Linked DNA regions of Diceros bicornis minor. Each later gene encodes a partner of the first gene's protein in a complex. Links are inferred from orthologs where the notes say so. Each region holds a gene or a part of one and is shown in the gene's direction. Other genes may lie near its edges.

The links.
Region 2: SNRPD1 (region 1) and LSM5 share a complex: the UniProt entries of both Homo sapiens proteins name them as parts of the U4/U6-U5 tri-snRNP complex. The link is inferred for Diceros bicornis minor from reciprocal best matches to the Homo sapiens genes SNRPD1 and LSM5.
Region 3: SNRPD1 (region 1) and PRPF8 share a complex: the UniProt entries of both Homo sapiens proteins name them as parts of the U4/U6-U5 tri-snRNP complex. The link is inferred for Diceros bicornis minor from reciprocal best matches to the Homo sapiens genes SNRPD1 and PRPF8.
Region 4: SNRPD1 (region 1) and DHX16 share a complex: the UniProt entries of both Homo sapiens proteins name them as parts of the minor spliceosome. The link is inferred for Diceros bicornis minor from reciprocal best matches to the Homo sapiens genes SNRPD1 and DHX16.

Annotation. Positions count from the first base shown.
Region 1 is NC_080755.1:13,552,484-13,560,264, reverse strand, and holds the start of SNRPD1 (small nuclear ribonucleoprotein Sm D1), read left to right. Parts: upstream 1-4,766; 5' UTR 4,767-4,861; coding exon 4,862-4,875; intron 4,876-7,781. UniProt on the Homo sapiens protein: Plays a role in pre-mRNA splicing as a core component of the spliceosomal U1, U2, U4 and U5 small nuclear ribonucleoproteins (snRNPs), the building blocks of the spliceosome.
Region 2 is NC_080742.1:56,561,660-56,568,957, reverse strand, and holds the start of LSM5 (U6 snRNA-associated Sm-like protein LSm5), read left to right. Parts: upstream 1-4,293; 5' UTR 4,294-4,355; coding exon 4,356-4,401; intron 4,402-6,152; coding exon 6,153-6,248; intron 6,249-6,788; coding exon 6,789-6,816; intron 6,817-7,298. UniProt on the Homo sapiens protein: Plays a role in pre-mRNA splicing as component of the U4/U6-U5 tri-snRNP complex that is involved in spliceosome assembly, and as component of the precatalytic spliceosome (spliceosome B complex).
Region 3 is NC_080757.1:16,065,461-16,072,438, forward strand, and holds the start of PRPF8 (pre-mRNA-processing-splicing factor 8), read left to right. Parts: upstream 1-3,964; 5' UTR 3,965-4,015; intron 4,016-4,206; 5' UTR 4,207-4,217; coding exon 4,218-4,317; intron 4,318-4,794; coding exon 4,795-4,963; intron 4,964-5,967; coding exon 5,968-6,132; intron 6,133-6,221; coding exon 6,222-6,440; intron 6,441-6,572; coding exon 6,573-6,785; intron 6,786-6,911; coding exon 6,912-6,978. UniProt on the Homo sapiens protein: Plays a role in pre-mRNA splicing as core component of precatalytic, catalytic and postcatalytic spliceosomal complexes, both of the predominant U2-type spliceosome and the minor U12-type spliceosome.
Region 4 is NC_080753.1:34,433,340-34,441,009, forward strand, and holds the start of DHX16 (pre-mRNA-splicing factor ATP-dependent RNA helicase DHX16), read left to right. Parts: upstream 1-4,654; 5' UTR 4,655-4,830; coding exon 4,831-5,037; intron 5,038-6,238; coding exon 6,239-6,486; intron 6,487-6,577; coding exon 6,578-6,740; intron 6,741-7,056; coding exon 7,057-7,113; intron 7,114-7,670. Other genes in the region: PPP1R18 (phostensin), read left to right, coding at 1-155, 1,063-1,082. UniProt on the Homo sapiens protein: Required for pre-mRNA splicing as a component of the spliceosome. Contributes to pre-mRNA splicing after spliceosome formation and prior to the first transesterification reaction.

The DNA of each region.
Region 1 (7,781 bases):
TCGATGATACTATTGAAATACTTTGTGCTGCAGTTAATCCATTTCAACTATCCAAAGGCTACAGAAAACAAGGTTCACAGCACTTCTCAAATCTCAACGATTTAACTCCTTCCTCCTTCCCTGCTGCGCCCTCCTCTCTCGGAAAACACCGTACCTGCTCGGTTTTCAGAACTTAACATTGAGGGGTGGGGGAGGGGAAGGTTGGGGGTGTGGGGGTGGGAGAGTTCTCTAATTTTTGGACTTGCTATCCCATTCTGCCTGAGTAAAACAAACCCCTGTAGTAAAAGAACCTTATGAATAGTGATGAAAATCGAGGACCAATTTCCTTCTGCTCGCTTCTCTCTATCTCTATAAACTTCACTACGGCCCTCAATACACCCATTTCTACGCCAGAGCAGCCCTACCTGTGCCCAGACGCCCCCTGCCCAACTCGAACTGCTCTATGAGCTTGGAGCCGGGCCACTGCTCCCCTCCCAGGCTAAAGACTGAGGAACCAAGATGCCCATCTCCCGCCGCGCAGACTGCAGAGGCCTGAGGGTTCAGGCCGGGTCAGCGAGGGGCGGCGGGGGCAGGGGAGCAAGCCGCAGGGACGGCAGCTCCGCGCCGGCTGGTGGGGCTGGCTCCGGGGAGACGCCGGGAGAGAGGGACGCCGGGGGCGGGGACAAGGCCCGGGCTACCTGCGGGCCGCCGCCCTCACCGCCCCAGTAGTCGCAACGGCTGCAAGCGACCGCCGCGCTCTGTGAACCCTCGCGGCCGCCTAGGGAGCCCCGGCCTGCGCCTGTCCGCGGTCACGGCCCCTTCACTACCTCTGACCGCCCGGCAAGTAGCAGCAGGTGATGCGACGACTGGGCAGCCGAGACGCGCAGGCTGGTCGCCTCCCACCCCTCCCAGGGGCGCCAGGAGCCCGGACCAAAGAAGTGGGAAGAGGCGTGCGAGACAACGCGACACAGAAGGGGGACAGGGAGGGGGAGAACCCTCCGGCTCTCCGGAGGGGCTGGAGAAAGGGAGGCGAGGACGCAGGCGGCGCGACAGCACGCGGTGGGGACGGTCGGGACGCTCGCGTACCTTCCTCACTCCCGGCTGAGGGTCCAACGCGAGCCAGCAGATCGCCTCACATCCGGGTATCAAGAGACACTCAGCCGCTTCTGCCGCGACCGCCGCCTCTCCCGCGGCGCAGAAACGCCGAACTTCCGGCGACGACGGCGACGCCTCGCCGGTCAGATGGGAGTTACCTGCGACCGTCTTGGGCGCGCTTGCGCAACGTTCCTCTTCAGCCCTAACCGGCTCAGCTGACGTACCCAGAAGACGAAGATGGCCGCCACGCTCGCTGCGTGTCACTCCGTTTTTCACCCCGGCCGGGACGGCTGGGCGTCGGGGAACAGGGAGCCTGCGTCCATCCTCGGCGCAGGCGCGGTGGGAGGCCTCGCGTGCGCTCACCGCGGGTGGGCTGCTCGCGGGGAAGCGGCGGCGCCCCCTGGCGGCGGCCTCTTGCTCTTCCCGCGGTCGTCTCATGGAATAATAACACCCACGCCCCCAGCGGTGGTGGTTTGTCGTGGAAATTCGTCGCCCCCGCTTCTTCTGTTGGTTGCGGGTACTGCTCTTCTGCGACCTCTAGGTTACATACCTTTAATCTTCGACATGGACCAATGTAACGAAAAAAGGAGATAACTGACCCTCTCTCTCCTTCCGCGGCACTGCACTCCCTCGCTTCCAAAAAATGCAGGACTTCACCGTCTCCGTGCACACTTTCCTCCTTGTGCACCAAAGCACAAGCGTCGACAAGAACTTGTATAATGTTCCACTAGATTTAGTCATGGCCGGTATTCAGATAAAGCTTTGGCTCTTCGAAGCCTCTAAAGATAGAATCCAGCGTTCTGTCACTAGGATCGTGGTTGCCACACTGCTTTTGAACGCTTTCTGTGCTACTCCTTCCTTTTTTGCAGATATATGAGGATGGATAAACGCTACTCTTGCCTTTGAGAATCTAAAGAGAGGTGATCATAGGTAGGTTCTTCCCTTCCTGACCTCTTTTTTTGAAGCCAGGTACAACCAAAATGTGCTCTGAGAAGCCTGATGTTTTTCTGACATTTTCCACAAAACTTTATTGAACTGCTTGTTACTTTAGTCTGGGGAGATTCCATGGTTTAAAAAACAAAATAGGTGAGGCCATTACCCACATCACCGTAGGTTGTGTTGCTTAGCAAAAGCCTGTCTACTGCCTCCCCCACCTCTAGTTCCTAATATAGGTATATTCTTTTTTTTTTTTTTTTTTTTCTGTGAGGAAGATCAGCCCTGAGCTAACATCCATGCTAATCCTGCTCTTTTTGCTGAGGAAGACCAGCTCTGAGCTAACATCTATTGCCAATCCTCCTCCTTTTTTTTTTTCCCTCCAAAGCCCCAGTAGAGAGTTGTATGTCATAGTTGCACATCCTTCTAGTTGCTGTATGTGGGATGCGGCCTCAGCATGGCGGGAGAAGCGGTCCGTCCGTACACTCCCGGGATCCCAACCCAGGCTGCCAGTAGCGGAGCGCGTGTACTTAACAGCTAAGCCACGCGGTATATTATATATATATAAGCCCTATAGGTATATTCTTTAATGACATATGCCAAATGTCTTAAATTGGGAAAAAAGTCAGGAGTAGACTGCTGACCTGATTGAAGCTGGTTATCTACCAGAGCATCGGACTTATATCTTCTTTCACCTTTAGATTGTCAGACAACTGGTGTAATTTCTTTCCATGTGTAAACCACTTTATCTTCAGTAACTTAAATTCTGGCATACACACACACAAACCATATTTACAAGTTTCCATTCCCACAAAATAGGCCTCTGCTTCTGAGTGATCTGTTCCCCTATATTTGTTTTGTGGCCACGATCCAGAGCATAGCAATCCTTACAAGTCTCACACCATATTAAATATATATAATAAATATAAAATATATATAAAACATAAATATAATTATTTATTTAATTTTAATTTAAATTGGCACATTTAGGCATTGTTTTTAATCCAGGGGCTCATTAATATCATCATGAGTTTTTTTTTTTTTAAAAGTCTCTCCTAAGACTGGTTTTTCTCTTGGTTCTAGGTGAGTTCCCAAACTGCAGAGGCTACTACCTCTCCATTCACATCCAAAAGGGAAGAGTATTCCCTGCGAAGGTCTGATTGGATCAGCTTACATCCCAAGCCCACTGTGGACAAGTAGTGGAATGTAATGAGTGACAGTTAAGGGTAGAGTCAGCTTCCTTAGGACCACATGGATCACCAGGACACTATTAGGAACTGTTGGGAAGAGAAGAGGATACATATTGAGAAGACAACGCACAAATGTCAATTACAGTCTTGCTACCCAAATTGTGGTCCATGGACTCGGGGCATCTTCATCAACTAAAGTCTTGTTAGAAATGCAGAATTTCGGACCCCACACCAACTGAATCAGAATTTTCATTCTAAAGTTTCCTCCAGGTGATTCCTATGCATATTAAAATATGATGAGCATTGCCTTACAATACCCAAGACTTCTGATGATCAGAGGTGAAGTCCAGGCTGGAGATACAAATTAAAGCTGTGGTTTTGGAGATCACCTAGGCTAAAGACCAAAGTATCCATAAGGAGACTACACCCAGGGAAAGCCCCAAAGCACTCCAACATGTGATGGCTCAGTAGAGGATGAGGCAGCTAAGGAGACCTAGAAAGAGTAGCTAGTAGGATAAGAATAAAACCAGGTGTGCTTGGCGTCCTGGAAGCCAAGAGAGGAGGGTGTTCAAAAGGGGAGTGTTTGTGTTGAATGCTTCTGAGATATTGAGTAAGATGAAGATAGATGTTTGTCTTGGAGGTTTTGATAACTATTAGACAAGCAATTTCAGTGTAGTTTGAAGACTGAATTGGAGATGATAAAATAAGTGTAGACAGCTCATTCAAGAACTTTTTCTGTGATCGAAGTCTGGCAGTAGCTGGAGCTGCAGCAAAGGAGAACTTTGTTTTGTTTCTAAGATAAATTTGTTTGCTGATGGAAAAAATTCAGTAGAGAAGGAGAAATTGATGATTCAAGTTAGAAGGGGATAACTGAAGGAGTAAAATTCTTGAGAAAATGAGAGATGGGATCCAGGCTATAATGAAAAAGAATTTACCTTTGAAAGAAGCAACAATGCTTCCACCCTTGCGATAGGAAAGAAAGCAGAAGGATGGCTTCTGTTTTCTTAAAAAAGTATGAAACATTAGCAGAGAGTGATTTGGGAGATGGCCTGTAAAAGGTTTCAGAAGGAGGAAAGAAAGAAGATATGAACTAATTTGTGAGATTATTATAGAAGCATAACACAGTCTCTGAGTAGTACCTCTTTGAGGTTTGTGGTCAGAATTTAAGGTAAAAATAATCAGCTAAATCGTGTGATTTTCTTCAGGTACATTAAGTAATGCTGAGGTTCCCGGTGTTGGAGCAGAATTAGCATAATCCTTTGGGCTTCTCTCAGAATTTCCCTTCGTTCAGGGATATATTTAGTGCTGCATAACACATGGCGCCCTGTAGTGGCGAAGTGCGACGGCGACAGGCCTACTAATTGGATTTAATCTCCTCAAATCTCCCTCTTGCGGGAAATTTCCTTTTAGACTAGTCCTAACGCCCTCAGCAGTCGCAAGGTACACCTCCAGCCGCCAGAGTGCGCTGTGGCGACCCTCGCGCCGGAAGTGAGTGCGGCCCAGCCGGCCTCGGCGTTTCCGCCGTGCGTAAGCAGTGCTCAGCGCGCTCTTTGCGTCGGAGCCCCGGCAGTAGGCGTTTCCGGCCATTCATACTCCCAGTCCGTTGGCGCTTGGTTGTGGCCTTGCGTGCACTCTCGGATCGAAAGGGCGACGGCGCCGCTAGCATGAAGCTTGTGAGGTGAGGAGGTGACCAAGCGGGATGGGAGCTGTGAACGGACGGTTTGGGCCGGGAGCCGGGCTGCCCCAGTTCCGGGAGGCGCGAAAGCCGCGTGCGCGCGCGGCCTGCTGACGGCCTCCGGCGCCCGCCGCTCCCGCCCCATCTAGGCCGCGGGCGCTCGCGCGTGGGTTTCGGACTGAATCGCGCGGGGATCCCGCGTGTCTTCCAAGAAGTAGACGTAAGGCCGAGACGTTTCTTCTCACCTAGTGTCTTAGAGGCCTTGAAGGTGCAGCGCCAGGCTTACAAACTCGTAGTTTCGGTTCCTTACCGATTTTTATATCGAGTACAACTCGTGTTCTAGTCTAGGTTACTTTTCTGGCTCCTTTCAGCTCCCAGAACCGGCAAATATAGCTATGTCCACGCTCCCTGAGAACGTGGGAGACAAAGAAAAGGAAAATTATATGCTCCTGCGAAAGTAGTTTAAGTTGATCCGCTTTTCGTGATGAAACTTACGTCGCCCTTAAAAAGAGTACTTAGAAGTTGCGGGAGTTTATCTGGAAATACCGAAACCCATTTCCGAAATGTTTTAAAATCGGGGTTGGACTTCTGACTTCATAAGTTGGTCTTTTTCCAGCTTTATTGAGATATACTGGAATTTTTTTCAGAAGGTAGAGCCCCTGCCTTGTTGGAACTTTATGTTTTGTGATGAAGACAGACAAGTAGATAGTTTCTAGTATGTTTGAAATAACATATAAAACCGTCAATATTTTATTCAGGGTGGACTTTGTAGAGAAGGCATTTAAGGTTAATTTTTAGTCCATTTTTGTTTGAGCTAGAACTTTTGGAGAAAAAGTCTCAGAATTTAAAGTACATTTTCTCGATACCTGCCAGTTTGAATGTGTTTATAGTTTCATATATTTATAATTTGATATATTTTGAATCATGCAGTATGCCTGCTTTTTGTGTAAAATTTCTTTTACTCAGCATATTTTTTTTGAGATTCGTCCACATTGTGACGTGTATCGCTAATTTATTCCTTTTTATTAGTGAATAGTAGTCCATTGTGCATTTAAGAGTTACGTATGTTGTGTAAAACTGTTTTGAACATTCTTGTGTAAGTTTTGTGTTTTTTTCCTTCATTTCTCTTGGGTAAATACTTAGGAGTGGAGTTGCTGGATCACAGCATAGGTAATCGTTTAGTTTCATGAGAAACTACCAGACCATTTTCCAAGGCGGTACCATTTTACACTCCCGCCAGCAGTGTATTAGAATTCCACTTGCTCCACATCGTCACCAGCATTTGTTGTCATCAATCTGTTTAGCCATTTTAGTCCTTGTATAGTGGTGTCTCATGGTGTTAATTAACAGTTTTCTAATGATTAATGATATTGAGCACTTTTTCACCTGCTTATTGGCCATTTGTATGTCTTTGTGAAGTGTCTTGTTTTGTGTTGTTTCTTTTTATTGTTGAGTTGTAGGAATTCTTTATGTATCCTCTGTCAGATATAATTTCTCTCAGTTTGTGGTTTGTTTGCTCATTTCCTTAGTAGGTAATGTCTTTTGGTGAGCAAAAGTTTATTTTGAGGAAGTCTTGATTTACCAGCTTTTGGTTTTATGGTTCTTACTCTCTATGTACTGCCAAAGAAACCTTTGCCTACTCTCAAACCGTGAAGATTTCTCCTGTTTTTCTCTAAAAGCTTTATAATTTTAACTTTTATGTTTAGGTGTGATCCATCTTGAGTTAATTTTGGTAAGTGGTGTGAGTTAGAGGTCCAGGTTCATTTTTTCTATATGAATTTTTAATTATTCCATGTTGTTATGGATTTCATCATTTGTTGAACAGGCTTTCCTTTGCCTGTTGGACTGCTTTGGCACTTTTGTAGAAAATCAACTAAATAAATGTAGATTTATTTCCGGACTCTATTTTGTTTCGTTGATCTATTTGTTGTTCCTGTGTCTTGGTTACTATAACTTTAACCTATATACTACTCTAGCCATCTAATTTGTCTTCCTAGAGATTGTCCTAGAGATAGAAGGTTGGTAACAATTAGTATTGATAAGGATTTGCATAATGGATTTGTAATAGCAAAATATATATATGTGGCCATGGAAATATCTTCAGTATAAACTGCTAAATGAGAGTACAAGTCATAGAAGTCGTTAAAGTATGGTCCAATTTATGTAAAAACAAAGTTTATGCATATGCTTATAAACGCATGTAAAAATGTAGTAGAAGAATAGCCCTGCATACAAAGAGGGAGTTAAAAAGGGAGACTTTTACTTTTCTGTATTTAGACATGTACAATAAGTGTGTAATCTTTTACTACCAATTATAATTTCCTGATTTCAATTTTGTGGCTTATAATAACTTTAAGATCTGTATGTCTGGATTGAAGGTTAAGCTATATAATGGTTTTTGTTAGTGCCATCAAGTCAATCCCGACTCCTAGTGACCCTGTATATACAGTGAAGTGGAACCCTGTTCCATCTTGTTACGCCATCCTCTCACCTTCCGGCGCTATATCGGGCAATGCTCCACTGCTATTGGTAGGGTTTTCATGGCCACTTTTTGGAAAGTGGGTGGCCGGGTCTTTCTTCCTAGTCAGTCTTAGTCTGGAAGCTACACTGAAACCTGTCCACCACGAGTGACCCTACTGATACTTGAAATACTTGTAGCGTAGCTTTCAGCATCACAGCAGCACGCAGGCGCCACAGTATGACAACTGACTGACAGATGGTGTAGTTCTCCAGCCAGCAAACAAACCCAGGCCATGGCAGTGAGAGCACTGAATCTTAAACGCTAGACTACCAGTATAATGGTTTAGAGAATCAGAAATATCCAAATGGCAGTTTCTCTTATTATTATGCTCCTTCATAAATGTTGAGGGTATAATTCAGGGAAAGCTGAAATTGTTATGCAGATTATT
Region 2 (7,298 bases), on another chromosome or scaffold:
ATAGGTGCCCGCTTTAAACAGAATTCGAGATTACTACAATACTTGGCTGTGAAGTTTACCATCGCTAGTTGCACATCCCTTAGTTTAGACAACCTTAGCAGTTATTATCCTGGCCTTGAAATTTAAGGACCTGCATTCTAATCTAAGTAGAGCTGAGAAAAACAATAGGCTTCCTGTAATCAAGGTTGGTTTCTATGATTCAGTAGAATTGTTTTAGTGCCAATAAAAATACTGTAGAAATTTTTCAAGATGTTGTTACAATTTCTTTTTTATATTACAAAATTCTTGGCATTGGCTCAGAACTGTGTGTGAAACTATATTATTCCCTGTATGCGTAATATGTTACTGTTTTCTTCCATCTGCCTTGATATTTTCCACAATTGGCATAGCTAAAATTAAAGTCTAACTGAACATCTTTTAAAAAATATGTAAGGGCAGAGCATCTTAGAATTCTATATCTACAGTGAACACCAACTGCTTAATTCATTGTGCAGGAGACCCAGTAATAGATTTATAAAAATCTGTGTCACTTTGCATCCTAGAGCTTCCAACAAAGATTAAATCATTTATTCATAACTATTATGTTGCTTAAATGTTTAAAAAAATTACTTAAAATAAATGCTATAAACAAAGAGGATATGTTACTGGGAAAATTGGGCAAGAAAGTAAGCAAGGGAATTTCCAGAATTTTTTCCATCTCTAAATATACAGACTGGTCCATTTAAGAGTTTAGAATAACAACTGTTACAGTAGTTTTTAATAAGTTGTATTATTATAGAATAAATTCATTAACAAGATATTGTCTATAAAGACAAATATCTATTGAGAAAAAAATAGATATTTCTCCTTTATTTTAAAAAGTGTCAGAAGGAGATTATCAAGATTGGAAATAACAATTTGACATAACAGAATACTTTCTGAATGTTATTTTGAAAGGAAACTTTTGTTTGTATTTTTATGATGACATTTGTCTCCAGGGAAAAAATTAGAAACACTTTTCTGAACATATAATACACTGAAGAGTCTTTTCTAGTTACATGTATTTTATGATGACTTGTAAATCCTATTTTATGTCTGCTCTATAAGAGCTAAAGGGAGAAAAACCCTGGAGACAGAGCTATGACATGTTTTCAAGTTCATTAAAAATGAACTTTCCATCTAGAATCGGCCCATTGTTTCTTTTTTCGTCTTGCCTCAGGAAAGAACATGGTAAAATAAAACCACTCCCTTCCTGCAATCCCCATTAACTTTACTGGGTAAATGAACTATTATCTCCTTTTTCAGAGTATAAAGAGACTTACTTTATTCTTCATCAATAGTATTGAAAATTGCTAATGTTCATTTTTTTCTTGTAATGGAAAATTTAAAGTACTGACTTTCTTAAAAGCATGTTTTTCTGAATTTTAAACTCTTATCAAGTAGCAACAATGCCTTGAATTTGGTCCCTACCCTCATTATGGTATGGTGAAAATAAAATAAGAATAGAGATAGAAAAGAAAAACGAGGAAAAGAAAAGGACTTTACAAAAAAATTTGGCATTACTTTGTCTTTAGAATCTTATGAAGATTAAGGGGGATGTTGATGGGTATGAATGAAATAGAATCAATTTAAAGAACATTCATTAGACCCTACAGTACACCTGGAACTGTGGTAGGCAGAGAGAAGAAAGAAAGAGGGGGGAGAGAGAGAGAGAAGGGGGGGAGAGAAAGCGGGGGGAGAGAGAGAGAAAGAAAAGAAAGTAAGAAAGAAAGGAAAGAAAGAAAAGCAAAGAAAGAAAGGGAAAGAGAAAGAAAGAAAGGGAAAGGGAAAGAAAGAAAGGGAAAGAGAAAGAAAGAAAGGGAAAGAGAAAGGGAAGGAAAGAAAGGGAAAGAGAAAGAAAGGCAGAGGGAAAGAAAGAAAGAAAAAGAAAGGGAAAGGGAAAGAAAGAAAGGGAAAGGGAAAGAAAGAAAGGGAAAGGGAAAGAAAGAAAGGGAAAGGGAAAGAAAGAAAGAGAAAGAGAAAGGAAGGAAGGGAAAGAGAAAGGAAGGAAGGGAAAGAGAAAGGAAGGAAGAAAGAAAAAAAGAGAGAGAGAGAAAGAAAGAAAGAGAAAGAAAGAAAGAAATTGCTGTCTTAAAGTGGCTTATGTCTGGTTATAAAAATAAGATAAACATGAAACCACCAGCTAGCAATGCTAGCCTTTGTAGCACCTACTCTAAGCCAACCATCATGTTGAGTATTAGGAAACATGGATAAATAAGCAATAACAGCTCACGTTTAATGAATAAGCACTATGTGCTAGTCCTCTGCTAACCACTTTTCATGGATTATCTCATTTAATCTTCACAACAATCCTATCAGTAGATACTATTATCCTATGGGTAAACTGAGAATTAGGAAGGTTAAATAACTTGCCCAAGGTCAAATAACTAGAAGGCATTGTGGTGGAGATGAGATTTGAACCAAAGTGATTTAACTTCAGAACCAATGGATTTAATCACTATATTGCTTCCCAAAATTCTTGACTTTCAGGAATTCACAGTCTTTTTGGGGAAGAGGTAACCCTGTAGATACATAATTATAAGAGAATACATTGAGAGCATTCTGAGAGCTGTTAACATCCTTGCTGGATAATGAGAGAGCCCACCAGGTCTGCAAGTCAGAGAAGCTTCACAAAGATGGTCACATTTGAGCAGGGTCTTGAAGGATGAGCAGGATTTATTAGAACTGGGGGCCAGAGCATCCTAAGTGTAATAAAGTAAAATCATTAAGGACTGGGGTTATTAAGGGAAAACATTTGGGAAGGGAAGGGTTTTACGCCAAACTTACCGAAAGTATGTAAGATTTAAATTGAAGTGCAAGAGATGTTCGGAGGTGGGCACATGCCAATTGCACACAGTATTCCCTTTACTTGGAATGCTGCTCCTGCCCCTTTTCTGCCTATCCAATTTTATTCATCCTCCAAGACTAGATTCCTGTCAATTCCTTTGTAAAGCTTCCCAAGCTATCTATGTGGCCAGTGGGCAAATTATTTAACCTCTGAGTATGAGGAACTTCATCCTAACATCTGTCTCAAAGGATAGTCATAAAGATTAGGAATAAATGTATCTGTCAGTTTCTTGGCATATAATAGGCGCTCAATATTTAAATATGCAAAAAAGCCAGGATTGGCTTGGTATTTAGAAGGAGGCTGAGCTCTAGGGTGCTTTGAACTGAAAGGCCCTTCTGTAAGAGCTTCTGAACCTCCTCACTGATGTTTCCCTTAAATCATACCTACGTGTCTAGTATTCTTGAAGCTAAAAAAGGTCTTTTTGCTTTATATATTAAATTTCATGTACCTTGTACATAATGTTTGTTGTCTTTCTCTCCCACTCATCCTTAAGCTCCTTAAAGGGCAGAAGACCTTGTAGTTTTGTTCTGTACACTGTTTTATACTGAGCAAAATGCCAGACAAATAGTGTGCAACTAATATATAGTTGTTTGCTGAATGAATGATGGGTGCTTTAAAAACATTTGTTGTATGAATGATGTTCTTTCTGGCCTTCGCTGTTCACAGTCTTTAGCTTTAAGTTCCTAGGATACAAATAGAAAATAGACTAAGGCAGAGAATTTGTTTGCTTTCTATTCTTTTCAAAACAAAAGTGCAAAAGTATTAAGGTTTCTTAAGTGTGATGACATTAACATACAGTGACATCTGGTGGTTGCCTGTTAGACAATGTTTGTTGAAGAAATACGGAATACGAAGTCTGTAAGAAACTAAGACTCCTAGATATAACAAGACAAGAACGATGAATTAAAGTAGTAAAAAATAAAGAGAAAACATATTTTAAATCTCTACCCTAGAAAAGTTTTAAAAAATGCCGGTTATGCGTTTTCAATCCACTGGACTTTTAAAAGAAAAGGTAGATTCTTGAAGATTGAACGGTTTTTACGAAAATTGCAACACAGTGAGTTGGTGGCAGGAAAAACAAATTGATTCATACGCGTCTGAAGAAAGATCCTGGCTTGGGTTAAGACGCAACTTTATAGAGGAAAATAAGACGACTCAAAAGTTTCCGTATTTTGCAAAGTCTTCCGGGTTAGAGGAAGAATTTATTCACAAGGCAGAACATCTTTAACGGTCTCCCGAAAATTTCTAAGGGAGAGTGAGTGAGTAGCCGCAGACACAGCAGAATACTCAGTGGATAAGAAATATTTCGCGATCTCACTGCCCCGGAAAGAAGCAACTGGGCGCGATCCACGCGGACTGGACCGATCGCACGCTCGGCCGCAGATTGGTCGAGCCTGCCCGGGCTGCGTGGGGGAGGAAAAAGAGGAAGCGTGCTTTTTCAAACTCGCCGACCCAACGTCGATGGACGCAGGCCACTTCCGGCGTAGCCATGGCTGCTAACGCTACCACTAACCCGTCGCAGCTGCTGCCTCTAGGTAATAGTTGCCCTGTGGGGCGCGCGGGCGGGGAGCTGAAGCTTAGGGTTGGGGGCCCAGGGGCTGCGGGGGAGGCTGCCCGTGTGAGAGCGTTAGGAAAATGTATCGGACCAACTGCTTTCCTTCTCCGCGGCTCGTCTCTGGTTTTAAGTCTTTGCGCCCTCAGGCCGCCCACGTCTCCTCAGCGTGGTAGGATTCCTTGAGGCAGGGACTTGTGACTCCCCAAACCAAACCGCCACTGGAAAAGGTTCACACTTGGTGAATGCGTCGCCAGCCGCCTCCGTTGTGAGCTCACCTCTATAGTCATGGGATTCAGTCCCGTTCCTCAACCTGGCATGTAAGCTCCCCAGATTGCACCCTGTCCTGTAGCTGGCCAGTTACTGCGAGAAGCACCGGGGTCTGGAATGAGCCTTAAAAGAGGAATCTGGGGGCAAGCCCGGTGGCGGTGGCTTAGTGGTTAAGTTCACACGCGGCGCTTTGGCGGCCTGAGCGTCTCCGGGTTGGAATCCCAGGCGTGGACCCACGCACTGCTCATCAAGCCATGCTGTGGCTGCGTGCCACATACAAAATAGAGGAAGATGAGCACAGATGTTAGCTCAGAGTCAATCTTCCTCAGCAAAAGGAGGAGGATTGGCAAGGGATCTTAGCTCAGGGCCAGTCTTCCTCACCAAAAAAAAAAAAAAAAAAAGAATCTGGAACTAGCTCTATTTGTCATTCATTCATTCAGCAAACAGTTATTGAGCATCTATGCACCAGACAATGTGGCCCGGCACAAGTCCACAAAATTTGTGTGTGTGTGTGTGTGAGAGAGAGAGAGAGAGGAAGATTAGCCCTGAGCTAACATCGGATGCCAATCCTTCTCTTTTTTTGCTAAGGAGGATTGGCCCTGGGCTGACATCCCTCTGCATCTTCCTCTATTTTATGTGGGACTCCGCCACAGCGTGACTTGACAAGCGCTGCATCCTCTGTGCCAGGGATCCAAACCCGCGAACACAGCCGCGTCTCCCCCCCCCCCCCCCCCCCCCCCCCCCCCGCTCGCCTCCTGCAGCCAGAAGGGAGCACGCAAACTTAACCATTAGGCCACTGGGTAGGCCCCGCTATTCAACAAATTTAAATCACGGCCATTGCCTGCGAATAGCACACAAACCAATGGAGGAGCTAGGATGCTGAACAAATAAACATCATACCAAATAACGCTAAGCCCGGTAAAGAGATGTTCGAGCTGCTATCAGAGTACAGAGGATAGACTTCTTAGGGTGAGGGAGGTAGTGACAAGAAGGAATCTCTGGTGAAGACAGTTATGCCTGTCTCTTCCTACGATTTTGTAGCTGAAGAGTGATTTAGTTAGTGGATGTGGCCGTGATTGAAAAGTTTTTTCCTTCATTCGACAAACTTTGAATCCCCAGCATATGCCAGGCACTGTCCATTGAGGGTAGAATGATCTGCCCTCATGGGGCTAAGAGTCTAGAGGGGTTCATATGTTAATCAAATAATCTAAAATAATATAAAACCACAGCCATGATAAATTGCTACAAAAGGGAAGTGGAGAACAGGGAGAGCTTTTTTGTTAATGTAGAGGTATATAGTATAAGATCTAAAGTTTTTGAATGAATTCTTTTCCTGGTTTGTATTTCACCATATACAAGTAATAAGTTCTGGTAGGCACTCAGATATTTGTGGAAGTAATGCATTGGTAAAATAATCTTTTTCCTCTCCCTCCCTTTTTTTTCTTTAAAAAAATATATCCATAGAACTTGTGGACAAGTGTATAGGATCAAGAATTCACATTGTGATGAAGAGTGATAAGGAAATTGTTGGCACGCTTCTAGGATTTGATGACTTTGTCAGTATCCTTTTAAAAGGTGGTGGTGGTATGGGTTTTTCTTCAGTATTTAAGAACAAAAGAACTATAGACAGTATTTACTGATTATTATAATAAAAATTAATTTGGGGCCTGCCGGTGGCATAGTGGTTAAGGTCATGCGCTCTGCTTTGGCAGCCCGGGTTCCAGGGTTCGGATCCCAGGTGCTGCCTGACGCACCGCTTGTCAAGCGATGCTTTGGCGGTGTCACATATAAAGTAGAGGAAGATGGGCACGGATGTTAGCCCAGGGCCAGTCTTCCTCAGCAAAAAGAGGGCAATTGGCAATGGATATTAGCTCAGGGCTCATCTTCCTCACCCACACCCACAAAAAAATTAATTCTCAGGGACGTTGTGATAGTGTTTTAAAAGTTGTTTGTGCTGGAAGAAGATTACCTACCTACCTACCAATCACAAGCATTTTGAATTTGAGTCATTGTGTTAGACGTTATAAGTAAAACTGAACAGAGGTAGAAGCCAGAGTAAATTCAACCTGGTATATTTATTTTCTTAACACAGAATTTCAGATATGGTACTGGAAGATGTCACTGAGTTGTGAGTAATGTTAAAAATTAAAGAATGGGGAGGGAGGATCTCTCAGTTTTTAATTTAAGGCAGTTTTAGTACTGTTGAGTCAGTAAAATGATATATGCGAAAACATTGCCTGTTGAAATTACCTTAAAATAGAAATTTTATCCACTGACGCTAGTGATTGGATCGGAAGGTTATTACCTCAATGTAATTATTACTAAATTGGTAGGAAATTAGTGGAGACAAAACTTTAAGGTTAAAGATACTTAAAAACAGCCAGGAATCTTAGGGCTCAGGTCACATCAAGGAACTGATAATAAGAACATTTAATGCTTTTGATTAAATTAATTGCTCTGTAATTTATATATAATATAAAATGTAAATGATGGCTAAATTATATTGATTATAATCGACCATTATTTCCGCTTTCAGAATTGAATTGAATACAGATTGGTTTAATGGGTAGGAATCAGTAGTAAGTAATAGTAACAAGAGTGAGGATAGTA
Region 3 (6,978 bases), on another chromosome or scaffold:
CTTCTTAGCATGAGCATAGAAGATGATATGGCTATATGATTAAGAATCTGAGCTCGAGACGCATTATTTACTGTCTCCATTATTTACTGTCTGTAGGAACTTGAGCAAATGGGTCAGCTCCTCTGCACTTCAGTTTCTTTGTCTATAAAATAAGGCTAATAATAGCACCTACCTCATTGGATTATTGTGACAGTTAAATGAACTAATGAATATAAAGTTGTTAGAGGGCCGGCCCCCTGGCTTAGCAGTTAAGTGTGCGCGCTCCGCTGCTGGCGGCCCGGGTTCAGATCCCGGGTGTGCACCAACACACCGCTTCTCCGGCCATGCTGAGGCCGTGTCCCACATACAGCAACTAGAAGGATGTGCAGCTATGACATACAACTATCTACTGGGGCTTTGGGGGGAAAAAATAAATAAATAAAATCTTTAAAGTTGTTAGACAGAACCTGACACATAGTTTGTGTAATTAATCATGTGACCCAAGGCAGATGACTCAACCTTTCTGAGGCTGAGTGTCTCATCAGTAAAATGGGGATAATAATAACACCTATCTTGTAAAGCTGTTTTGAGGATTAAATTAGCTTATTTATTTATTAACTCTTCATTTTGAAACAATTTTAGGCTCATGTGGAAGTTGCAAAAATAGCACAGAGCATAAAAATAAACATATAGATCATTGGGATAGAGTTGAGAGTCCAGAAACAAATAAATGGTCAGTTTATTTTTGACAAAGTGTCCAAGACCATTCAAAGGGGAAAGAATAGTCTTTTAAACAAACGGTGCTGGGACAACTGGATATCCACATGCAGAAGAATTAATTTGGACCCCTATTTCACACCATACATAGAAATTAAATCAATATGAATCATAGACCTACATGTAAGAGCCAAAACTATAAAACTCTTAGAGGAGCGCCGGCCCAGTGGCTTAGCAGTTAAGTGCGAGCGCTCTGCTGCTGGTGGCCCAGGTTTGGATCCCAGGCGCACACTGACGCTCGCTTGTCTGGCCATGCTGAAGCTGCGTCCCACGTACAGCAACTAGAAGGATGTGCAACTATGACATACAACTATCACAAACATACAACAACAACAACAAAAAACAAAAAAATAACTCTTAGAGGAAAATGTAGGAGCATATCTTTGTGACTTGGGTTAGGCAATGATTTCTAAGATTTGATACCAAATCTTAAGCAATAGAAGAGAAGATTTGATAAGTTGGGTTTAATTAAAAACTTTTGTGCTTCAAAGAACACCATAAAGAAAGTGAAAAGATAACTCAAAGAATGGGAGAAAAATTTTGCATATCATATATATGACAGGGAACTTGTATCTAGACTATATAAAGAACTCCTACAACTCAACAATGAAAAGACAACCCAATGTTAAAATGGGCAAAGGACTTGAAAACATATTTCTCCAAGGAAGATATGTACGTATATATATAGATAATATATATGTAGTATTTTATTACAACAAGGATGAATCTCAAAATCATTATGCTAAGTAAAAGAAGCCAGTCACAAAAGACCACTATTCTATGATACCATTTATATGAAACGTCCAGATCAGGCAAATCTATAGAGACAGAAAGTAGATTAGTGGTTGCCTAGGACTGAGGAGTAGGAGGTGGGAGGAAACGGGGAGTGAGTGTTAACGGGTACAAATTTTCTTTTCGGGATGATGAGAATGTGGAACTAGATAATGATGATAATTGCATGACTCTATAAATATACTAAAAATCATTGGATTGTATACTTTAAACAGGTGAACTTTATGAAATGCAAATTATATCTCAATAATGTTGTTTAGAAAATAGTAAAGAGATTTCCTGTATACTCTTCACCCACTTAAGAATTTCTTTTCTTTTTTTTTTTTTTTGTGAGGAAGATCAGCCCTGAGCTCATCCATGCCAATCCTTCTCCTTTTGCTGAGGAAGACCGGCCCTCAGCTAACATCTATTGCCAATCCTCCTCCTTTTTTTTTCTTCCCTTTTTCTCCCCAAAGCTCCGGCAGATAGTTGTATGTCATAGTTGCACATCCTTCTAGTTGCTGTATGTGGGACGCTGCCTCAGCATGGCCAGACAAGCGAGCGTCGGTGCGCGCCTGGGATCCGAACCTGGGCTGCCAGTAGCAGAGTGCATGCACTCAACCGCTAAGCCAGGGGCTGGCCCAAGAATTTCTTACATGACAATAGTAGGACAATAAAAACCAGAAAAATGACATTGGTACAATACTATTAAGGAAGCTATAGAGAATATTAAGATTTTACCAGAGTTTATAACAATATCTGGCACATAGTGAAGCTTACGCAGGTGGTAAGGACTTCACTACAATGACGATGATGAACATAATGATGATAATGTACATAATAATGATGATGCTGGACTTTCTACTGTAGCCAGATTGATCGGCTGCTGTTTTAGAGCATGCCATGTTCGTTTCTCTTTCTAAACTCTAACTGTAGCAGTTTCCACCACCTGGGATTCTTTTTTCCTTACTCTTTCCTTATCCCATCAAATCCTTCACATCCACGCATCTCCACCAAATCTTTTTTTTTTTTTTGTGAGGAATATCAGCCCTGAGCTAACATCCATGCTAATCCTCTTCTTTTTGCTGAGGAAGACCAGCTCTGAGCTAACATCTGTTGCCAATCCTGCTCCTTTTTTTTCCCCAAAGCCCCAGTAGATAGTTGTATGTCATAGTTGCACATCTTTCTAGTGGCTGTATGTGGCCTCAGCATGGCCGGAGAAGTGGTGCGTCGGGTGCGCGTCTGGGATCCGAACCCGGGGCCACCAGTAGCGGAGCACACGCAATTAACCGCTAAGCCACAGGGCCGGCCCTCCATCAAATCTTTAAAAGGCAAAAGATTTATTCCATCTGAAGAGAAAAAGACGCATCATCAAATCTTTAATAATGCTCCTCTCCCTCCTTTGAACTGTAGAAGCCTCCATACCAGCCAGCACTTGCCTGGACTCTCCTTTGCATTTTCCTCTAGTTATTTCACCTATGAATCCTGAATTCCCAACTAAACTGAGAGGCTATATGGGTTTCATTTCCTCTGCACCTTCCACAATAAACTTGGTGTGAATTCAAAAAAATTTATCCTTAAACTAGATTCAAAGTTGTTACCAAAGGATAGAGCAAGAGAGAAAACAAGGATGGCAGGAGATGGAGAGCAATTCAGGCAGTAAGACAGGCAGAGCCTGAGGGAGTCAAGAAGCATTTATAGGGTGTCTACTATACACTCCATAGTGTAATCATTGCCAGAGAGAGAAAAGAGGAACGGAGGAGAGGAAAAAGACACCCAGCAATGTTGTTCCCCAAGGCCTCTTTTATTTTTCTAGGTTCATTGACTAACTCTTCCTTGACTTCGCAGGCAGGATTAAAATGCTCTGCCCCTGAACTCCTGTACAGGGAGTTCACGCGGCACTGTAGGAACCTGGGTTTTTGCCTGCCTTCCCGCTACCCTGTGAGCTCCGTAATGTTGGCTTTTTCCCTGCTGTATTCCCAATCTCTGATACATAGCGGACGCTCAATAAATGATGGTTGAATGAACGAATGAATGAATGCATGAACAAAGGACTGATTGACTCAGAGCTACTATTGTACCCCAAGTCTGCATTTATGAGACTAGACACAGAATAATGTGCAAATTTTGACAAATTTATTAAAAATCTGGAAGCCTGGGTCTTTGACTGTCCGACGCCAGTCACGGATAACAGTGCGAGGTCGCCTAGAGACCGGAGACAGCCCCTGAAACGCGGGAGGCGGAGCTTACGGCTCCTCCGACCACACCCCTTCGCGTTCAAATCTTTCCGCCTATGGACCCGCCCCCTTCAGCCCGAAATGCAACTCTAATTGGTGAGCTCTGTAATCCATCTGAGCTCTTCGACGTCTATTGGATCCACTACTGAACTCCGGTTGCGCACTTCCCGGTGTTGGGAACGCAGAGCGGACGTAGGCTTGCCGCCATTGCGCTGCGGGGAAATCGGCCGACGGTGTGAGGGGCTTTGGGGGTGCGTGAGGGGCTTCAAGGGCCGGGCTGCGGGGGGCGTGGTTGGATCGGGCTGAGTGGCCCGAGGGATTGGGCAGTACGCACTCTGAGCGAGGCGGGACTGCAGGCCGGGGTTCTCGACGTGTTCCTGCTGCGCCTCTTGTAGGCCCGGGCCTTGTGGCTTGTTAATTTTTCCCTTCCGCCGCCCCCCAGATTCTCCGGGCATGGCCGGAGTATTTCCATACCGAGGGCCGGGTAACCCGGTGCCCGGCCCTCTAGCCCCGCTGCCAGACTACATGTCGGAGGAGAAGCTGCAGGAGAAAGGTGAAGAACGCGTGCAGGCCTGGCTACTTGGGGGCGGGTGTGCGCGTGCGCGCAGCGGGTTTGAACCCTTTCCCCGTTTTGGCAAGTGTCAAAACGTTAGGTGTCAGTTCCCTTATTAGCCCCATTTATTTTTTCGTCTGATCAAGTCTTTAAAAGCGTCTGTTATTTGCAGGCACTGATCCAACCAATGGGGATACAATAGTGATGAAGACAAACTCCTGCCCTGATAAGGTTTAAATTGCAGTGAGGGAAATAGACAATAAAAACTTAAAAAAAAAAATCTGTAACAAAAACGTCAGGCAGTGATAAATGTGATGAAGGAAAAAATAAAGCGGAGTGAAATGACGAGAATTGGCAGGGAGCACTCCAGCTGTACGCACAGCTCTCCCTCATCCAGACAGGAGCTTACCCTAGGGCAAGAGGTGGGAATGATTAGGCCAAGGGTGTGCAGTCCTTTAAACTGAGGTGTCTTTGTAGCCCGCAAATGGCAGCAATTGCAAGCCAAGCGCTATGCAGAAAAGCGGAAGTTCGGATTTGTGGATGCTCAGAAGGAAGACATGCCCCCAGAGCATGTCAGGAAGATCATTCGAGACCATGGAGACATGACCAACAGGAAGTTTCGCCATGACAAAAGGGTCTACTTGGGGTAAGGAGCATCCTGGAATTATTTCATTTGGAGCTTGGCCCCTTTCCCTTCTCCCTATCTCATAGGTCACAGTCCTGGATAGCTGCTCTGTCATTTTGGGACAGGCATCTTCTGTGACAGCCCATCTTGGTGGTTATAAGAGAAGAGGGAAAACCACTAGAATTCTGTGATAATTTCCAGATCTTCCAGTTATATTCTTTATTGCCCTAATTTTTCTTCTTGGTCTGGGACTGGAGCTTAATTTGTCCTGTTGGTGCTATGGTAAGATGTTCCTATTTTTGAATGGATTGGAGCCCAGAGCAGGACACTTTGTACATTCTTGTTGCCTGTAACTCCTCAGTGACCAGAATTCTGAGGTTCCGGATGTTTAACTCCTGAGGTGTCTATAATCTTGTTTTTCTCTGTCCCCAAGCTGATTGAGTATAGGTACAAATGCCTTAGCAAATCCCTTTTCTGTTTGGACACAAAAATGTTAGCCACTTAATGAGCTGGTCTAAGACAGACATGGAAGTTTTGTTTATTTCAAAAAAAAAGAAAAAAAAAGTGTATATATATGTTTTTTGAGAACTGTGCTAGGTGCTAGGGATATAGCAGTGAACAGGAAGTAATGGCCTTTTTGGAGCTTACGGTCTAGTGGCATGACAGATATGAGACAAATGGTTACAATAAAGTATGGTAAATATTGTATTATTATTTATGGGACGGTACAGAGAGAATAGAATGTGTGACAGCCTAAAAGCTGTCTTTAGAGGGACAGCTGTTGATTTAGAGGGACTGAAACCCAGTATTTTGGGACTGTGAAGTTTAAGAAGAAGAGTGACATAATTGGAGAGGGAGAGGCAGAGTTGCCGATCATGGCGGGCCTGTCTATGTTTGGGAGTTTGGACTTTGAGGCAGGGTTTTCCGTGGAATGTGATACTATGGTACCGTGTGGCTTCTGTGCACGGCACAGGTAACAGCTAACACTTTGTCATTTCTAATCATCTCTCTTCCTAACGTTGCAGTGCCCTAAAGTACATGCCCCATGCAGTCCTCAAGCTCCTGGAGAACATGCCTATGCCTTGGGAACAGATTCGAGATGTGCCTGTGCTGTACCACATTACTGGAGCCATTTCCTTTGTCAATGAGATTCCCTGGGTCATTGAGCCTGTCTACATCTCTCAGTGGGGGTGAGATAGTGCTGGAATATAACCATGTGTGGTGGTGGTGGTTGTGGGGCAGTGGGTAGAAACCATTGTGTGACATTGTTGGCTTCCAGGTCAATGTGGATCATGATGCGTCGAGAAAAAAGAGACAGGAGGCATTTCAAGAGGATGCGTTTCCCCCCTTTTGATGATGAAGAGCCGCCTTTGGACTATGCCGACAACATCCTAGATGTTGAGCCTTTGGAGGCCATTCAGCTAGAGTTGGACCCTGAGGAGGATGCCCCTGTGTTGGACTGGTTCTATGACCACCAGCCACTGAGGGACAGCCGGAAGTGAGTGACAGTTGGAGTTAACACTCCTGTGGGAGTTTTGGAAATCCACAAGGAGTTCTGGGAGAACAACGGGTAGTGTGGCTTGGCTAGCTGGTATACCTCCCTGATGCGGGCTCTTCTTTTTTTTCCTAGGTATGTGAATGGCTCCACTTACCAGCGCTGGCAGTTCACGCTGCCCATGATGTCCACTCTCTACCGCCTGGCCAATCAGCTCCTTACAGACTTGGTGGATGACAACTACTTCTATCTGTTTGACCTGAAGGCGTTTTTTACCTCTAAAGCACTCAATATGGCCATTCCTGGAGGCCCCAAATTTGAACCTCTTGTTCGAGATATCAACCTACAGTAAGTTGGAGAGAATAGGGATTTTAGGCACCTTGGGTTGAATAAAATCTACTCTTGATCCTTAAGATCTCCTTGTAGCTTCCAAACTCTCCAACTAGTCTGCTCATCCTTGATTTTGTACCGTAGGGATGAAGACTGGAATGAGTTTAATGATATTAACAAGATCATCATCCGGCAGCCTATCCGCACTGAA
Region 4 (7,670 bases), on another chromosome or scaffold:
GAGTTCGGTGCTGGAGGAGCTGGGCCCGGAGCCTGAGGCCCCCAGTGCCGCCAGCCCCCCAGCGGCCCAACCCGACGACGAAGAGGATGAGGAAGAGCTGCTCCTGCTGCAGCCTGAGCTCCAGGGCGGGCTGCGCACCAAGGCCCTGATAGTGGGTGAGCACAGGCTCTGCCGGCCCGAGGGCGCCCCCTGGTGCTCAGAGCAGGCACTGCGGCCCAGGAGGGAAGCGGGGAACTTGAGTTGGCGCTTGGAGGGGGCTTGGTAGGACATCCAGCCCAAGCCACTCCTTTAACAGATGGGGAAACTGAGGTCCTGGGAAGCGAAGTGCACGTGGGGTCTCCAGATTTCAAAACCAAGATTCTTTCTGAGCGCTCTAGTGTGGTTAAAAACACAGGGTTTGGTTCCGACAGGCCTGAGTTTGAATTCCATCTTGTTTCTTACTTGTGGTGTGACTTCAGGGAAATTACGTGACCTCAGGCCTCAGTTTATCCTTTATGAAATAGGGTTAATAATAACTACCTCCTAGAGTTGTTGAGAGGGTTAAGTAATGTTTGTGAAGCACCTAGGAACTATGGCTGGACATCAAGTTACTTAACCTCGCCTGAGGTGAGATTAAACGAGTTATAAGAATGCCTGGGGCCAGCCCGTGGTGTAGCGGTTAAGTGCGTGCGCTCCGCTGCTGGCGGCCCAGTTTCGGATCCCTGGCTTAAACCGATAGACCGCTTGTCAGGCCGTGCTGTGGCAGCGTCCCATATAAAGTGGAGGAAGATAGGCACAGATGTTAGCCCAGGGCCAGTCTTCCGCAGCAAAAAAAGAGGAGGATTGGCATGGATGTTAGCTCAGGGCTAGTCTTCCTCACCAAAAAAAAAAAAAAAAGCCTGGCACAGAATTCGAGCTAAATGAATGATGGCTGCTGTTGCTGGTAGTAACAAGCACTCAAGATGTGGAAGATGTTATAAGATTTCCCATATGCCAACTGGCCTTCAGTGTGAGGAGAGGGTGGGGAAGGTGGGGAGCAGAGGCCTCACTCATTCTCTGTCATTATTGCCTCCTCTCCCACAGATGAGTCCTGCCGGAGGTGACCGTCTTCCAACACAGAGATATACCTCGCTCCTTCCCAGAACTGAAGATCCTGGAGCCCAGAAGATTCAGAGCAGACAGACCCTGAAAATGAGCCTGGCAGGGAAGGGCAACCAACATCTTCCACTTCGCTTTCCTCATCCTGTTTCTGGGGGCAGAGCCAATCGCCCAATTTCCACCCTCACCCCAGGTCCCTGGTGTGAGTGCGTCAGGCGTGTGGGTGTATCCTAGGTGATCCAAGAGTGAGCACCAATTCCCAGGGAGGAGCACAGAGCTCCCTGGGGAATGGAGATGGAGCACCCTCTCCATCTCCATGGGCAGGGTATACTCGCCCTACAACCTTCCTTGTCTCCCCACCACCCCCTGAGGTTCTCAGGATTTCAGCACTCATCTCCCTGAGACGCCTGGCCCCCACTCCATTTCCAGTCACCTCTCATCCTGTTCCTTAGGTCACTGCCCCTTTGTTTACAGCTCTTGCCTCCTCTCTTGACTGCAGCCTGGATTACAAACCCCACCAGCTCCCCGCCCCACCTGCCAAAGTCCCAGGTTTACAAGCCACGCCTACTTGCCGTGTCTATGTGGAATCCTCTCCCCTGTCCCCTGCTGTTGCCTCACTGGGAGTGACCTTGGGGTGTGGCTTCCTCCATTTTTGCTCAGTATTACTGTGCCTCAGATTTCCCCAAGAGGGAAGGCTGGGGATCTTAACTCCATTCTCCCATCTAGTTATTTAATTCTGTTTCTCCTAGTGGTTCTCAATTGAATTGAATTGCAAGGATGTGGGGTGACTAACGAGGCACCTCAACTCTCCTCCCTCATTTCTCCTTCCTTATCAATTGCCTGTGTTTTTTTTTTTTTTTTTAATTGTCCCTAATAAAATGGAGCTCTCTCTGACTTTCCCATTGCTTCTCCTTCTTTAGGAAAAAAAAGTGCATGCGGGGGAAACTCTGTGTTCCTCGTTCCAAGCCTCTCCCATCTTCCTGTTGGCCATGAGAGGGAAGTGGCGATGGGCGGTGGGAGGGGAAAATGATGAGGATGAACCAAGAACTCAGAGCTGACATGTAGAAAGGGCTCTGGGAGAGCCCTGCACTGGTTTCTCGAAGGACTAGCAGGAGAAGGACTGGTTTGAGGAAGGGCAGGTTGTAGCCACCAGACTGGAAGTGCCATGAGGGCAGACCATGTTGGTTGAGTTTACTGCAGCATCACCACGCCTGGCACCTAATAGACACACAAAATTACTTCTAGAATGAATGACTGAACAAATAAATGAAGAAAAGAGCTAAAAAACTGGAAGCAGAGGACACTCTAAATTGAAAGATACCGGGCCAGCCCGGTGGCTTAGCGGTTAAGTGCACGCGCTCCGCTGCTTGCGGCCCGGGTTCGGATCCCGGGCGTGCACCGATGCACTGCTTCTCCGGCCATGCTGAGGCCGCGTCCCACATACAGCAACTAGAAGGATGTGCAGCTATGACATACAACTATCTACTGGGGCTTTGGGGGAAAAAATAAATAAATAAAATCTTTAAAAAAAAAAATAAATTGAAAGATACCAGTATTCAGAAGCCTATAGCAATGCCAGCAGCCAGCTAGTGTGTGATAGTAGCTAATTCAGAGGCATTTACTCCAAGACCCGAGACCATAAATAATTAATCTGAAATTGCTGCAAAATATAGTATGTTTAGAAGTGCAGTTTCCTGAAAAGGGGTCTCTGATAGACAATGAGTTTTATATTCCCAAAGGTTTAAGAACTATCAATAATTCATGCCTTTGTTACCCAAGTATAGTTGATGTTGGGAGATTTTCTCATTTCAAAGAATTTCTATCTTCTACAAATGTAGAAGACCTATGTTTTATTTATCAGGTCATTTTTTTAGTTCTGCAGGCTAGTAAAGGCATGGTTGACTAGTCCTAGTCCTTCTACCACTACAGGATGCTCCTCAGCCTAGTCAGAGGGGACTCCCCTTTACCAAAAACAAAATGTGTTAGACAAATTGATCTTAAATATATGCTGAAGGTCCTTAATTTACTAGCAAGAGAACAAGCAAGCTGTCAAAAGAATGAGCCAGTTCAGGGGCCGGCCTGGTGGCGCAGCGGTTAAGTGCGCGCAGTCTGCTTTGGCGGCCCAGGGTTCACAGGTTCGGATCCCGGGCGCGCACCAACGCACCGCTTGTCAAGCTGTGACGGCTTCCCATATAAAGTAGAGGAAGATGGGCATGGATGTTAGCCCAGGGCCAATCTTCCTCTGCAAAAAAGAGGAGGACTGGTATCAGATGTTAGCTCAGGGCTGATCTTCCTCACCAAAAAAAAAAAAAAAAAAGAATGAACCAGTTCACAGAAGCAGTTCACAGAAGCTGTGGGTGTGGAGGGAAACAATGCTTATATCAGTAGCTAATTAGGTAAAGATCCTAAACAGTTGTGACCCAGGAAAGAGGAGGCAGGGAGCTCTGAGATGCCAGGGGTGCCCACAGTCCATCTGAGAAATAAAACAATGCATCCAAGAAGTCAATGAAGTCAGTGATATGGAGCTACCTGTGGCTGCTCATTGGAATAACAACGATTCATTTCCCAACAGGTGTCTGCTAAGTCCAATTAATCATAAAAAAAAGTATGAAGCAGGGTAAAAAGAAGTCAGATAGTAGAGAGTCAAGTAACAAGTTCTGCTTGTTTTTAAATAAGCAGCCACCAGTGAATTTCTCAAGCTGTTAGCGAAAATGCAGAACATACTACGGGGCCAGGCTGGTGCCACAGTGGTTAAGTTCGTGCGCTCCGCTTGGGTGGCCTGGGGTTCGCTGGTTCGGATCCTGGGCACAGACCCACTCACTGCTCATCAAGCCATGCTGAGGCGGTGTCCCACATAGAGCAACTAGAAGGATGTAAGACCATGACATACAACTATCACTGGGGCTTTGGGGAGAAAAAAGGAAAAAAAGGATGAAGACTGGAAACAGATGTTAGCTCAGGGCCAATCTTCCTCAAAAAAAGAAGCAGAACAGAGATTGCATTTTCCTGAGTCGGAGAGCTTTTAAAATGACTTTCTGACACAGCACCAAGAAAAGTGGGCACCTTTGTTTTTCCCCCAGATCCCAACTTCCTGGCCTGGAGGTCCTCGCTTATGCCTAACCTGTATTCAACCCTGCTGCAGGCACCAGTCCAAAGGTCACTCCTAATCAGCATGGGCTAATCTTTAATAAGCGGGACCTGATCTTCTGATTTGAAATGGAATCCCCCCCAACACACATACATCTTGCCTTATTTTTGGCTCCATAGAACTTACATGTTTTATTTATTATGTATCTTGCCTCCTTCCCACCCCGCGCAATGTAAACTCGGTGAGGGACTTTTGTCTGATTTGTTCTTTGCTATATCCCTAGCGACAAAAATTGCCTAGCACACCTTAGGCTCTCAGCATTAGTTGAATGAATCAGTGAAACACCCCCGAACTGACCATCAGGGGGCGACAGAGATTCGGTAGGGGCGGAGAGGACATTGTTTTCCCCCGAGCTTCAGATAACGATTCTGCGAGGTTTGAACTCGCTCGGCCACCGTAGTGCTCAGGCCGGAAAAGCGCGGCCGCTTCCGGCCTCCGCGGTCCGAGAAGACGGCTTTGAGGTGTCGGAAACCGAATCCCAAGGTCCTAAGGCGGCTCCCTTGAGGAGCTGAGGCTCCAGCCCCGGGCTCCAGGCCTCAGCCCGGCCTGGCCGCCAGGGCGGCTGCTGGAGACACTTCAGAGCAGAGAACAGAGCGTGGGTCGCCATGGCGACGCCGGCGGGGCTGGAGCGCTGGGTGCAGGACGAGCTGCACTCGGTGCTGGGACTGAGCGAGCGGCACGTGGCCCAGTTCCTGATCGGAACCGCGCAGCGCTGCGCCTCGGCCGAGGAGTTCGTGCAGCGCCTGCGGGACACTGATACCCTGGACCTCAGCGGGCCGGCCCGGGACTTCGCCCTCAAACTCTGGAACAAGGTGTCGAGAGGGGTGGGGCGCGGCTGGGGCGGGGCCGGCGTGGGAACCGCGAGAGAGGGGGTGGAGCAGGGACGGGGCCCAGGTTACTTATCCAGGTGAGGCTGGGCTAACTGCATCGGGGAATTAAGCTCAGTTTACAGGCATTCATCCGTTGTCCGTTGTCGTCTAGGTAGTGTGCTGGGTGCTGGACGTCCAGCTTAGGGGAGGAGAACGAGGAGGGCTAAGTGTGCTGGGTTAAGTGCTATAGAGCAGTGTTTCTCGAACTTTAACATGCATAGGATTTCTCCAGGGCCTTTGTTAAAATGCAGATTCCGATTTGGTAGGTCTGGGATGGGATCTTAGTTTCTGCATGTCTAACAAGTTTCCAGGTGATGACGGCCCATGGACCACCTTGGTGAATAGCGAGGCCGTAGAAGGGATGTGTGGGAGGTGCTGTGGGAGGGCAGAAGAGGTGGGGGTAGTGAGCAGGAAAAGCAGGCCCAAAGACTCCCTGGAGCTTGTCAAGTAGAGAAGGAGGAATGAGTAAAAGTATAAAAGGCGAGCTCCTGGAGGACAGGAGTGTGTATTTCTCGTCTTTGTATTCCTGCCACCTAACAGAGTACCTTTCAGAGCAGGTGCTCAGGAAGTATATAGGAAGAGTGGAAGTGTTCAGCATGTTCAGAGAATGGCAAATAGCCTGGATGGGACCTGGTTGTCCCATATGGTGCTTGTCAAGGGAGATTAGGTTAGAATGTAAGTGATATGAGAGTAGGGACTTTATGTTAATTTGTTTACCAGGGTATCCCTGGAGTCTGAGACAGTGCCAGGCCTGTGACAGCCTTCTGCAAAAGTAGCATGTCAGTCCTTGTGTAGGCATGACTTAATCATTGGGAATAGCAGAGGCTGAGCAATTGAGAATTGGGTTTGAGAATGTAAAATCCACAAGGGCAGGGATGCTTGTCTCTTTTGTTTATTCCTGTATCCCTAGTACCTAACAAGTACCTGGTGCATGGGACAGGCTTCAATAAACGTTTGTTAAATGAATGACTGAAAGGACGTTCGGAAACTGAGAGGCTCTGACGAACATGGCGTGAAGCCATGGGGAAGAGAAAGAATGAAGGCTGATTTAAGATCAAGTCAATCCTTACATTAAAAACAGGGTAAAGTAGGTGGTCAGAGATCAGGAGTTGCTCACATCCCTCATCTCCTCCTCTCCTGACAGGTGCCACGGAAGGCAGTCGTAGAAAAGCCAGCTCGGGCAGCAGAGCGAGAGGCCCGAGCCCTGCTGGAGAAGAACCGATCTTATAAGTTGCTGGAAGAGAGTGAGGAGAGCAGTGAGGAGACCATGGGCAGGGCTGGGAGCAGTCCCCAGAAGAAGCGTAAAAAACGGAAACACCTCAGGAAGAAACGTCAGGAGGAAGAGGAAGACGAAGAGGAGGAATTTTCTGAGAAAGGAAAGAGAAAGACAGGGTAAGTCAGAAATAGGATGAGAGATGGGGCAGGTGGATGATGGGATATGCCTTCTGGATGCCCTTATTTAATCCTCTGGGCTGGGCTGCAGGGAGAGTACACAGCAAATGGAGAAGCCAGAGTCGGAGGATGAGTGGGAGCGGACAGAGCGAGAACGCCTTCAGGACTTGGAGGAACGGGATGCCTTCGCGGAGCGGGTTCGGCAGCGGGACAAGGATCGGACTCGTAATGTCCTGGAGCGGTCAGACAAGAAGGTCTGCATGTTCTCTAAATCCCAGGAAAATCTCTGGGTCAAAACTGAGGTTGAGTATGATTGCAGATAGTGATCTCTGGGAACACAAGGGGCTGCCTCTAGTGGTAAGTTCATCTCTATGAGGAGAAGACCCCTCTGGGTCTGCTGGCTAAGGTGAGTCTCTGCTGAACCTGTAGCCATAGAGCTTCCTCGTGGAGAAGGGACATTTCTTTGTGTTAGGGAACATCTGAATGATCCTTGTGATTCTGGAGGGGGAATGGCTGTGGGCCTGGGGGCTTTTGGCGTCACACCCCTCCACTCTTGGTTTCTTCTCCTAGGCTTATGAAGAGGCTCAGAAGCGCCTCAAGATGGCTGAGGAAGACCGGAAAGCCATGGTGAGTCCCAGTACCTAGGAAGCCAAGAGCAGAAGACAAAAGGAAAAACTTTCTGATGGAGAAGTTAGGGGTAGGGACAAAGGATACAGAAGATGCGGTGGAGATGCTGATGGGGTGTCAGGTCTCTGGAGGATGGGGCTTGGTTGACAGAAGCCTGCTGAGGATGGATTTAAGTTGTAGAGAGAAGGAGGTTACCCATAAACCCTCCTTGACTCCATAGGATTAAATCACACTGTATGTTAGTGAGGGAAATGTGAGCTTTCTCTGTTCCTGAGACTTAACAAGATGTAATCAAAAGGCAGCTGGAACGTCAAGGGGTTGGCTGGAGGGCAGGAGCAAGGCAGCTGTTCCACTGCCCAGGGATGTGCTGACCATTCAGCTTGGCACACCATCTCCAAATACCTCCCTACCACCTAATCCCTCCATCCCCTCTGTGGCCTTGTGATCTTCCTCTGGTTTCCTAAGTTGGTCTTCTCCTGGACAGGGTCAGAGCCCTGGTAATTCATGAACTGGACTTGTTATGGTGTGAGTCTTGGTAGGGTAGGCAGTTTTCCAAA